2 linked regions of the Arabidopsis thaliana genome follow. The protein of the gene in region 2 interacts with the protein of the main gene of each other region in a pairwise test. Each region holds a gene or a part of one and is shown on either strand. Other genes may lie near its edges. The genes, in order: AAP5 and AT5G61820.

Evidence for each region.
Region 1: the proteins of AT5G61820 (region 2) and AAP5 interact in a two-hybrid assay, tested with the Arabidopsis thaliana proteins (one large-scale study listed by BioGRID).

The regions. Positions count from the first base shown.
Region 1 is NC_003070.9:16,763,760-16,769,505, reverse strand, and holds AAP5 (amino acid permease 5), read left to right. Parts: upstream 1-1,820; 5' UTR 1,821-2,282; coding exon 2,283-2,370; intron 2,371-2,786; coding exon 2,787-3,020; intron 3,021-3,067; exon of another isoform or gene 3,068-3,247; intron 3,248-3,321; coding exon 3,322-3,415; intron 3,416-3,656; coding exon 3,657-4,029; intron 4,030-4,201; coding exon 4,202-4,855; 3' UTR 4,856-5,114; downstream 5,115-5,746. UniProt on the Arabidopsis thaliana protein: Amino acid-proton symporter. Stereospecific transporter with a broad specificity for glutamate and both neutral and basic amino acids. Reduced affinities for asparagine and valine.
Region 2 is NC_003076.8:24,833,497-24,838,630, reverse strand, and holds AT5G61820 (stress up-regulated Nod 19 protein), read left to right. Parts: upstream 1-1,697; 5' UTR 1,698-2,005; exon of another isoform or gene 2,006-2,198; intron 2,199-2,404; 5' UTR 2,405-2,407; coding exon 2,408-3,295; intron 3,296-3,378; coding exon 3,379-3,528; intron 3,529-3,621; coding exon 3,622-3,879; intron 3,880-3,994; coding exon 3,995-4,126; 3' UTR 4,127-4,331; downstream 4,332-5,134. Other genes in the region: AT5G61830 (NAD(P)-binding Rossmann-fold superfamily protein), read right to left, coding at 1-241, 316-510, 602-866, 1,205-1,296; APC1 (Mitochondrial substrate carrier family protein), read left to right, coding at 4,896-5,134.

The sequences.
Region 1 (5,746 bases), on a different chromosome or scaffold from region 2:
GTTCTGAAAAATCAAAATGTTTTCCAACTCAAATAATAGATTAGATGTTCCAATGATTATATTAAATTTCCTATTTTTTGGTAATTCATATATGCAGAAAACTTCGGAAAACCATTGCACAGCAATAAGCATTTAAAAAAAGTGAAACCCATTCTATCAATGTTATGTTGAAAAACTTCATCTAATTGAGGTGTATTTTGCATGTTCATACAAAAACTCCAAAAATAAAATTGAAAATAATCGAGAATATTTAACATTGTTATGTAACTTCAATTTGTGAGAATTTATCAACGAAAATAGAGTATATATAATATGACCAAACTCATAACAGGCAAACACCACTTTACATAGTTTCCACTTTCATTTCCTCAAACCAACCGAAAGTTTTTAGAAACATAGTAGATATAGACAAAGAAGTCCATGGTAAACGTTAATTATTTAAATAACTATTAAATAATAAATTAATAAAATATTTACTTTATCAATTTGTTTGTAATTATGGTTGAAAACTTGCCCATCAAAATTTTAAATATATTTTCTTTTTCAAAATAATATCTAATTGCCTATGATAAATGATTCTAAAATAGTAAAGTATACCACCAAATCGTTCATTTATACTCTTTAGAAATGATATAACGACAGTGTATTTTCCAACCGAATGGTCGGTGTTTCCAGTGTATTTGAAAGAATTTAAGAGCGAGAAAGAAAAATTTATTAGCATCTCTTTATTTTTAATTCCTCGGAATTGGTTCGTTTGAGTTTAATTAATTCCGGTTGACAAAAAAAAAACAAATGATATAAGGAATTTGAAAAGTTAAATCCTCCGTCAACTTTCTCTTGACATCAAAAGTACATATAACATAATAATCAATAATAATGAAAAAACAACTATATCTCTAATTATAATTACTTTAATTTACTCAAATACTCATTAAATTAAGGACATGAATCATTGTTTTTAAATTTTAAAATTAAAATATCTATATTTTAAAGGTAAAAATCTTAAAATTTGGTTTGATGTTTAGCTTTTATGGAATTTTTAAGAATTGAGATTAATCCTAGCAATTCTAGCAATGTTATGTTGAAAAACTTCATCTAATCGAGGTGTATTTTGCATGTTCATACAAAAACTCCACAAATAAAATGGAAAATAATCGAGAATATTTAACATTGTTTTGTAACTTCAATTTGTGAGAACCTATCAACCAAAAAAGAGTATATAATGTGACCAAACTCATAACATGCAAACACCACTATACATAGTTTCCACTTTCATTTCCTCAAAACCAACCGAAAGTTTTTAGAAATATACTAGATATAGACGAAAGAAGTCCATGGTAAACGTTAATTATTTAAATAACAAATTAATAAAATATATACTTTATCAATTTGTTTATAATTATGGTTGAACACATGCCCATGTTAAATATATTTTGTTTTTTTTGAGTAATGCCTATGATAAATGATTCTAAAATATTAATATAAGTATACCACCAAATCGTTCATTTACAAATGATATAACGAATTTCAAAAGTTAAATCTTCCTTCAACTTTCTCTTGACATCAAAAGTACATATAACATAATAATCAATAATAATAAAAACTACTATATCTCTAATTATATATTTTCTTAAATTACTTTGATTTACTCAAATACTCTTAAATTATAAGGACATGAATCATTGTTTCTAAAATTTAAAATTAAAATATCTATATTTTAAAGGTAAAAATCTTAAAATTTAGTTTGATTGTTTAGCTTATATGTAATTTATAAGATTTGACATTTTGCACTTGTTGTCACTAATGTATAACAATGAAACCATTTTCTCATAAAAAGATAAACTATTTTTGTAGTCCTCACAAAAAAAAAAAAAAAAGCACATGCGGTTTCCTCTGCTTCTTCCTTCTTACAAGTTGGATGTCTCCGTCTTCCACGGTGCTTATAAATTAGTGAAACAACAAAAGCTTTGGTCAGTATTTATATTATCATGCATTTCTAATCTCTACTTTGTCAATTCCTATACTTTCACTCTCTTCCAATTATATAATCTCTGGTCCATAGAAAACATCGGTCTCTTGTCACCGTTGATTTTATTTGGTCAAAATCATTCTTCTTCTCGCTGAATAATCGTTGATTTCACTTCTTCTTCTGGTCTTAAAAAAATTCAAGATCTATACGAGAAAACACAAAACAAGTAAAACTTTTTCAACCGTTTTTCCTGTCGGTAAAGTTTGGATTCTTCTTAGTAAATTTTGGTCTTATTGTCGACCAAAAGAAGAAGATGGTCGTTCAGAATGTTCAAGATTTGGATGTTCTTCCGAAACATAGCTCGGATTCATTCGATGATGATGGTCGTCCCAAGCGAACCGGTAATTTCTCTTTTTTTCTCTAATTTTATGTTTTATGTTTCTCTAATCTGTTCAAACAAGAATCAAAGTAAATATAAAATTAGTCTCTGTTTCCTATAACCGGGGATTTGAACCCGAAACCCGGAATTTTTTTAATTCCGGGTTTCGGGATACAAACCGAAACCCGGAGTCTGTTGAACTTGCAATTTAAAACATCTACAGTAAATATATGCATAGGCTTTGTTTGTTAAGGGGTGACAAATTCCTACTTCTTTTTTTGTGTGGATGTTATGGAAAAGTATGATTTTTGTTACTAAAGTGTATGAACACTATTGTTACTACAGTTGTTGTCTTAAAATTAACGGTTAAACAAAACAGACTTTATTGTTACTACAGTTCTTGTCTTAAAATTCTGTTTGAATGTGATTGGTGTTTAGGGACGGTGTGGACAGCAAGTGCACACATAATAACAGCAGTAATTGGGTCAGGAGTGTTGTCATTGGCATGGGCCGTTGCTCAGATTGGTTGGATTGGTGGTCCAGTGGCTATGTTACTCTTTTCTTTCGTTACTTTTTACACATCTACCCTTCTCTGTTCTTGTTACCGATCTGGTGACTCTGTTACCGGCAAAAGAAACTACACTTACATGGACGCTATTCACTCCAACCTCGGTAAACAAAAAAAAAATCATTTCGGTTTCTTTTTGGTGCATATATTGGGATATTGAACCGAAGATCGACGGTTGAGATGACAAGGCCAAGATATAACAAAAAGATATTATTCTAGAAGATAAATGTTAATATTGAAGTTTAGAAAGTTTAACATTTATCTTTTAGAATAATATTTTCTTGCCGTATCTTGGCCTTGTCATTTCAACCGTTGATCTCTGTCGATCTCTGGTTCTCCATATCGGTTCCATATCCCAATAGTTATTATCATCAAAAACTTAATTCATTCTTGATTCATTTTTAGGTGGGATTAAGGTGAAAGTATGTGGAGTTGTGCAATATGTTAATCTATTTGGTACAGCAATTGGATATACAATTGCATCAGCTATAAGTTTGGTGTAAGTTAAAACTTTGCTTTCACAAAACTCTTTTTATTTTAATTGTTCACATTTGTCCAAAAAAAGTTAGATGCGTGTTTTATTTTGCTATTCAATATTGTCCATACAAGTCATTAATGTTTGGCTCAATAATGCAGTGTTTTAGTCAATGTAGTCTTGTTTTGTGCCATTAAAGATTCGAAAGAACGGCTCTATTATTGTTTGACTTGTTAACTAATTTTCTTGAATAAAAAATTTACAGAGCAATCCAAAGGACAAGTTGCCAACAGATGAATGGACCAAATGATCCTTGTCATGTTAATGGAAATGTTTACATGATTGCGTTTGGTATTGTACAAATCATATTCTCTCAGATTCCTGATTTTGATCAGTTATGGTGGCTTTCCATTGTCGCTGCGGTCATGTCTTTTGCTTATTCTGCCATTGGACTTGGCCTTGGTGTCTCTAAAGTGGTAGAGAACAAAGAAATTAAAGGTAGTCTCACTGGAGTCACTGTTGGGACAGTGACACTGAGTGGGACAGTGACATCGTCGCAGAAAATATGGAGAACATTTCAGTCTCTTGGCAACATTGCGTTTGCGTACTCTTACTCGATGATTCTCATCGAAATTCAGGTATTTTTGTTACGCGAGTTTTTTTTTTTTTGAAAATAATGTTAAGTTAGATTCAAAAGAAAAATAACGTTGTTACAACTAGTGCATCGTTTGGTTTATTTGTTAAGCGAGTTTGTGTGATAAGAGTTTGTTTAAAGGATGTTTTAATCAACTAGACGATTTGATGATCCAGGACACGGTGAAATCACCGCCTGCCGAAGTAAACACGATGAGAAAAGCGACTTTTGTAAGTGTGGCAGTGACTACAGTCTTCTACATGCTATGTGGCTGTGTAGGGTATGCAGCATTTGGGGATAACGCACCCGGAAATCTCCTCGCTCATGGAGGGTTTAGAAACCCATATTGGTTGCTTGACATTGCTAATCTCGCTATAGTGATCCATCTAGTCGGTGCTTACCAAGTCTATTGCCAACCCCTCTTTGCCTTCGTCGAGAAGGAAGCCTCTAGGAGGTTTCCAGAGAGCGAATTCGTCACAAAAGAGATCAAGATCCAACTCTTCCCGGGGAAGCCCTTTAACTTGAATCTCTTCAGGCTCGTATGGAGGACGTTCTTCGTGATGACAACAACGTTGATCTCAATGTTAATGCCTTTCTTTAACGATGTAGTCGGTCTCTTGGGGGCCATTGGTTTTTGGCCTTTAACGGTTTATTTCCCAGTGGAAATGTACATTGCACAGAAGAATGTTCCGAGATGGGGCACAAAGTGGGTTTGTCTACAAGTCTTGAGTGTGACATGTCTTTTTGTGTCCGTAGCCGCGGCCGCGGGATCTGTTATTGGCATTGTTAGTGATCTCAAGGTCTACAAACCTTTCCAGTCTGAATTCTGAGATCATACGGGAAAAATAAACTCCTGCTAAAAGGGTTAAGATTAGAATTGAATGTTTTAATGTCATATTTGTATTAGTTAACTTTGTGTAAGTGTTCAATTATAAATCATGTTTCTACCGAGAATTCTTACAACATTGAACTATCAATGATTAAAAGTAGTCATGTATAAGGATAGCTTTTTCGACACTTGAGGTAGTAGAGATGTATTAAACATTTAATACTTATAATTAATTTTAGAAGTCTATAAACCAAAGGAGCTACAAGATGTTTTGTGTTTATCTCCAAAATTCTTCAAATTCTTAAATCGTTTATCTTCTTGTAAACACTCTCCAAAACTAAAGATCCCCTAGATAAAATTGAGCTAACAATGCCTAATGAAGCCATACAAATAAGATAATCAATGTTTACCTTGACAAAACAATAATTAAAATTTAACAAAAGCAAATCGAGAATAATGATATGACACTGAAAATATTCTGATCTTTCTTTTACAAAGCAATCGATGAATTCTCAGTTAGTTACACAATAAATAACATTAGTTACATTCAAAAGCTATACAATCAAATGAGTGAAAGTACTTAAGAATAATATCACATGCTTGGTGTCTTTTTGATACCTCAACTCTTTTGTTTTATATATACTCAAGAACTTTAATAATATAAAAAATAACTCAACCAATGATGATATAGTTTTAATTTCCTAAACTACAAGTGCAAAGCAATCAAAGTAGTATTAGGGTCGATCGGTAAAGAATTTAGAGTAACGCACACCAATGTCACATTTTGTTTTTACAAGACAAACATGTCTTTTTAGTTTGAAATACCTAAGCTAACTAGATCATACACATTGTCTTCAACAGAATGAACTATGTGATATAACTCCATTTCAAA
Region 2 (5,134 bases):
TGTTAACATAAATCTTCTCTTCCTCTCCTCGTCTCTCAAGTTCTTTTGCCATTAGTCTCGTGTAAGCATTGACTGCAAGCTTAGACATGGAGTAGTCAGTGAATGTCTGAGGCCACCCGCCTGATTCCCAAGTTCCGTCTTTTACTTGGTTGATGAATTTAGAGACAGTTCTGTCTATAAGTTCCTCGGTCAGCAAATCTGGACTGCTTAGCTGATCTCTCAACTCTACATTTGCCAGTCTCTGCAATTCATGAATTTCAACGAGATTTTCTTTTTTCAAAAAAAATCAAAGATATGAGTGAAAGAGTTTCTTACATTACGTCTTCCATTTACTCTACCTAGCCGAGAACTAACATTGACTACACGAGCGCCATGAGGAGATGGTCTCATCAAGGGTATCATAGCTTTTGTCATGTTTTTGGTTCCTTGGTAGTTAGTAGATATAACTGTTTCAGCAAATTCAACCGTATTATCTGAGCCGAGATTGTAGTTAACACCTGCATTATTCACCTGAAAAACATAGCAACACAAATGCATGTAATTCAAATCTAAGAAAACATTAGAACTATCCTCCAAGATTACGAATCGATAAGGATCTTACGAGAATATCTAAACCTCCAAATGTTTGCTTAAGCCAGCAACCAAACTCTCTAATCGACGAAGAGTCTGTGACATCAAGTTGATGAAAATAAACCTTGAGACCTTCTTCTTGGTGCCTCAAAGATTTAACTGCTTCAAGACCAGCATTCACGTTTCTAGCTGTAAGAACAACCGTCAATCCGTGAACCGCAAGCTGTCTTGCAATCTCGAATCCAATCCCGCGGTTTGAACCAGTCACTACTGCTACATTTTCACAAGACCACCACCTAAAAAATCATTTGACGCCTAATGACAAGTCAAATTCAAAAAGAGGGCTTGAGAGACACATACTTCATCATTTTCAATTTCTCTAAATTCTTTTGGTTTAGTGAAACACAAATCTGTAAGTACCAACAACAATACCAATTCAGTCTCCAACTCCCAAATAGAGAAAAATAGAAACTCATCAAACACTGTAAGCGACACTAAGAAATGGATTTAAGCAAGTGAAATTAGAGATTAACACATCGAATGCTGTGAAATTGAGAATCTCGCAGAGTAAATGATGATAGATCTTAGGATACAAAGAAGCCGAAACAATTGGACAAATTAGGTCTCTTCATACCTATGGTGGTCAGAGTAAGGAATAGTTCGAAGGAGAGAGATCTCCTGCATTCTTTTCTCCCTTCTCTCTCGAGCTTTCTCCTTGTTCGTCATCGTCTTCTTCGCTCGCGTCGCGTGTTTGGGTGTACCGTTTATCTTACTCCTGAATCAAATTCGTTGTACATTAGCCATCAGCTCTAAGGAATTAATAAATGAGACCTTCAACTTTAATAAAAACCACATAATGGCCCAAACCTTATACTCTTAACTATTCAATCCACCAGACACCAGTAACGCTTGGCAGTCAAATCTTTATTGAGTGGGTTCATACTCTAAACCGTTTACTGAAATTTAATTCAACTAAACAAACCAATGATTTTTCATACACCATTAATTACAAAAACTACAAGATGAAAAACTTTTCACGATATTTGTTCGAAAATCTAAACCAATGATTTTTTCCCTCAATCTTCGTTTATAGTTTAATTTATGGTCGTCTATCTACTTTTGTTTGTTTTATTTGTCGTCGGTTGTCTAATATCCATCCATTCTCACATAAATGTTTAGTGGTACTATGATAACCTAACATGATTGTGTGAGATAAAATAGAAGAGGACAATACTAGCGGGTTTGTGACGAGAGCGGTGACGTCACTGGTTTACACGTGTCACGTACTAACGATTCTCGCGTCCATACGTCTCTGCGTTCATGGGCTATTGATAAGTATTAAATAGACAACTCCCGAATTTGTTTTGTTACTCATCACAATAGCGGGAAACTCATCCGGCTTCTGGAAATTTCCGTTTATCCGATTCGTTCTCACGTAAATCACTCTCTCTCTCTCGCTCTCTCGCTCTCTCTGTATCGTCTCTGTTTGATTTCGCAATTGAATTCTGGGTTTAGGAATCTCTTATTGTATTTAATTTGACAATCAAATTTTGGGTTTTTTAAATACCAAACTAGAAAGTGAGATTACGAAAGATTGTTCCATAGTGGATACGTTCGTCTTTCAAAAGGTAAGTCAAACTTTTTTTTTTTGGGCAAAGGAATTTTGAATAAGCAGCACAAGTACTAAAATCTTCTGATTAAAATTAGGTTTCAAGTGGTTATCCTCTATTGTTCATAGTTTGAGCTAGGTTTAGAGTTTGTGATATCTTATCCATGTTTATGAATTTGATTAGCTGAATCAATCTCTTTCCTTTTATATATGATCATGAAACAGGAGATGATGGCTCGTTACCACAGGAGATCGATGATCTTGTGCTTAGTTCTGCTCTCATTAAGCATATCGCCGAGCCAAGGCTTCCTAGGGACAGAGGAAAAGATCAAATCCGCTGTCTTTTACTCACCAAAACTTGTGATGAATCCAGGATCAGTTGCAAATCCTTACTTATTCGACATCGATTTCCCAAGAGGTCATATCGGCCTCAAAGCTTTCGATGCTGAAGTGGTTGACGAAGCGGGCAAACCCGTTCCTCTACACGAGACCTATCTCCACCATTGGATTGTCGAGCCATACTATGTACGTAAAGGTTCCAAGCTTCCACAGAGAGAAATGTTCAGGAATCATGGATTTTCCAGGGAAGATCCTGAAAGCAATCTTGATTCCAAGTCAGATATTATTCTTGTGAAAAATGGAGGGTTGTGCAGGAGTTTAACACTCAGACATTTCTTTGGTTTAGGATCAGAAACCCGCGAAACCTCGACGTATGTTCCTGATCCCTACGCTATTGAAATCGGTAATCCTGAGGAAACACCTGATGGTTATGAATTCAAATGGCTTCTTAACATTCACGCGATAGACACCAGAGGTGTGGAAGATAAGAAAGGATGCATAGAATGTTTGTGTGATCTGTATAATGTTACCATTGATGAGTATGGTCGAGCTATAAGGCCTGGATACAAAGGAGGTTTATACTGCTGCTATGATAAGACTCAATGTCGGGTGAAAAGCGGATTTGACAATGGGGAGAAAACAAGAACTCTGTATTTGAAGTATACCGTGAGATGGGTTGATTGGGACAGCTCGGTTTTGCCCGCTAAGGTTTATATTTTCGATGTTACAGATTCTTGGGAAAGATCAAAAGGAGATAGCCAAGAACATATTTGCCATGTCAGTAAGAACTTTCATATCTGCTTAATGCCGTTACTTCTACTTCATTCTCTAATAATTTTCCGGGTCTTTGTGATTTTCAGGTGGAATACGAGGTGAAACCGTGCAAAACCAATGGCGATGGATGCGTTGACGTTAAGAAAAAGAGCTTAGTGATGCCATTTGATGGGTATATTGTCTACGGGGTAGCTCACCAGCACGCTGGTGGTATCGGTGGTGCTCTATACCGAGAGGTAACTAAGAGACTGATTTAGTTTAGGCTACTGCAAAACGAAAAGATTGAAACTTTGTTATTGAATTGAGACTCTTGTTGTGTTGTGGATCAGAACGGTGAAGGGATATGCGCTTCAATGCCGAAGTATGGCAATGGAGATGAACCTGGAAACGAAGCTGGTTACATTGTTGGAATGTCGTCTTGTTATCCAGCTGATCCAGTGAAAGTGAGCTATGGAGAGACATTGACTTTGGAATCTAATTACAGTAATGCCGTTGGTCATACCGGAGTTATGGGACTCTTTTACATCCTCGTTGCTCAGCAGCTGCCGGAACCAGATAGCTCCTTGCCTAATAAACAACATTTTGAGGTAATCACTCCACCCGGTACCAGAACTCGGTTAAGGTCAAACCGGTTACGATACATATACAGTGTATTGCCATGTGATTATTTAACTGACGTTAATATCTCTCACTTCCTTGTAGGCACCTGCGAGAAGCTTGAGCTTTTTAGCCATTTTTGCAGTGACGGTAGTTGTGGCTGTTGTGGTTTTAATAGCCGCCGTGATATACCGGAGACAGAAACGGGAAGATGGTTACCAATCACTTAGTACTTAAAAAAGAGCAAAAACCATGTCGACTCTATATATGTCTTCAAAGTGAATTCTGTTTGTATACATAGAATAAAAGATTATTTTGTTGTCATCTTCCTCTGATGTGATATCTCTGTAATAGTTACGTGTAAGAAGAACTTTTCTTTCTCAAATACATCACATTCACACAATAAACTAACATTATTTTCGTTGTCTTGGTTCCAAACCCTTTAATACTTGCAAAATTACAATTTTTTTTAATCTCTATAACTTATGAATTACTCTACATCCAAATTTGTGATGTTTCACTGTCTAAAATCATCTGTATGATCAAAAATTCAAAAGTTGATATTCAGTTACTAGAGTTAGTTATAAAAAAAAACTTTTACCGTCACTGTTCTGGTTCAACCCAGATATTGTTCTCGTTCAAAGCAGCTAAACCGGTGAAAACTGACTCGTTGCTGTGATTCACTCAAACTAGACCGGTTTTATTTGACTGGTGTTTTTTGTGTGTCATATATGTCGGAAACAGTTTTGAGTGGTCCACGAACAATAATGGAGACTCCAGCTGTCCATGGAAGATTTGAGGCAGATATTTTTTGCTCACCGACCTCAAATCTCAGAGACAAAAGTTTTGTCCAAATAAATTTCATTTTTGAATTCTGATTTTGATTATTTCCGAAATTCTTTTTTCTTCCAAGAATGAAGGGACCATAGAATCGTCCAAAACTGTTGAAACTTGAAAGCTTTCCAATTTTGCTCATCTGGGTTTCTCGATTGATCGTTAACCAGCAATGGAGGCAGAGAAATCCAAGCAAAATCCGGGTAAGAAGCCCGTAGAAGCAACAATGGAGCACGTGTTGGTGGCATTACGAGAGACCAAGGAGAAGAGAGAGATCAGGATTCAAAAACTGTTCGAATTCTTCGACAATTCGAAGTTAGGGTTCTTAGACGATACCCAGATCGAGAAAGGTTTGTCTTCGCTTAGTATTCCTCCAAAGTATAGGTACGCTAGTGATTTTCTTAAAGTCTG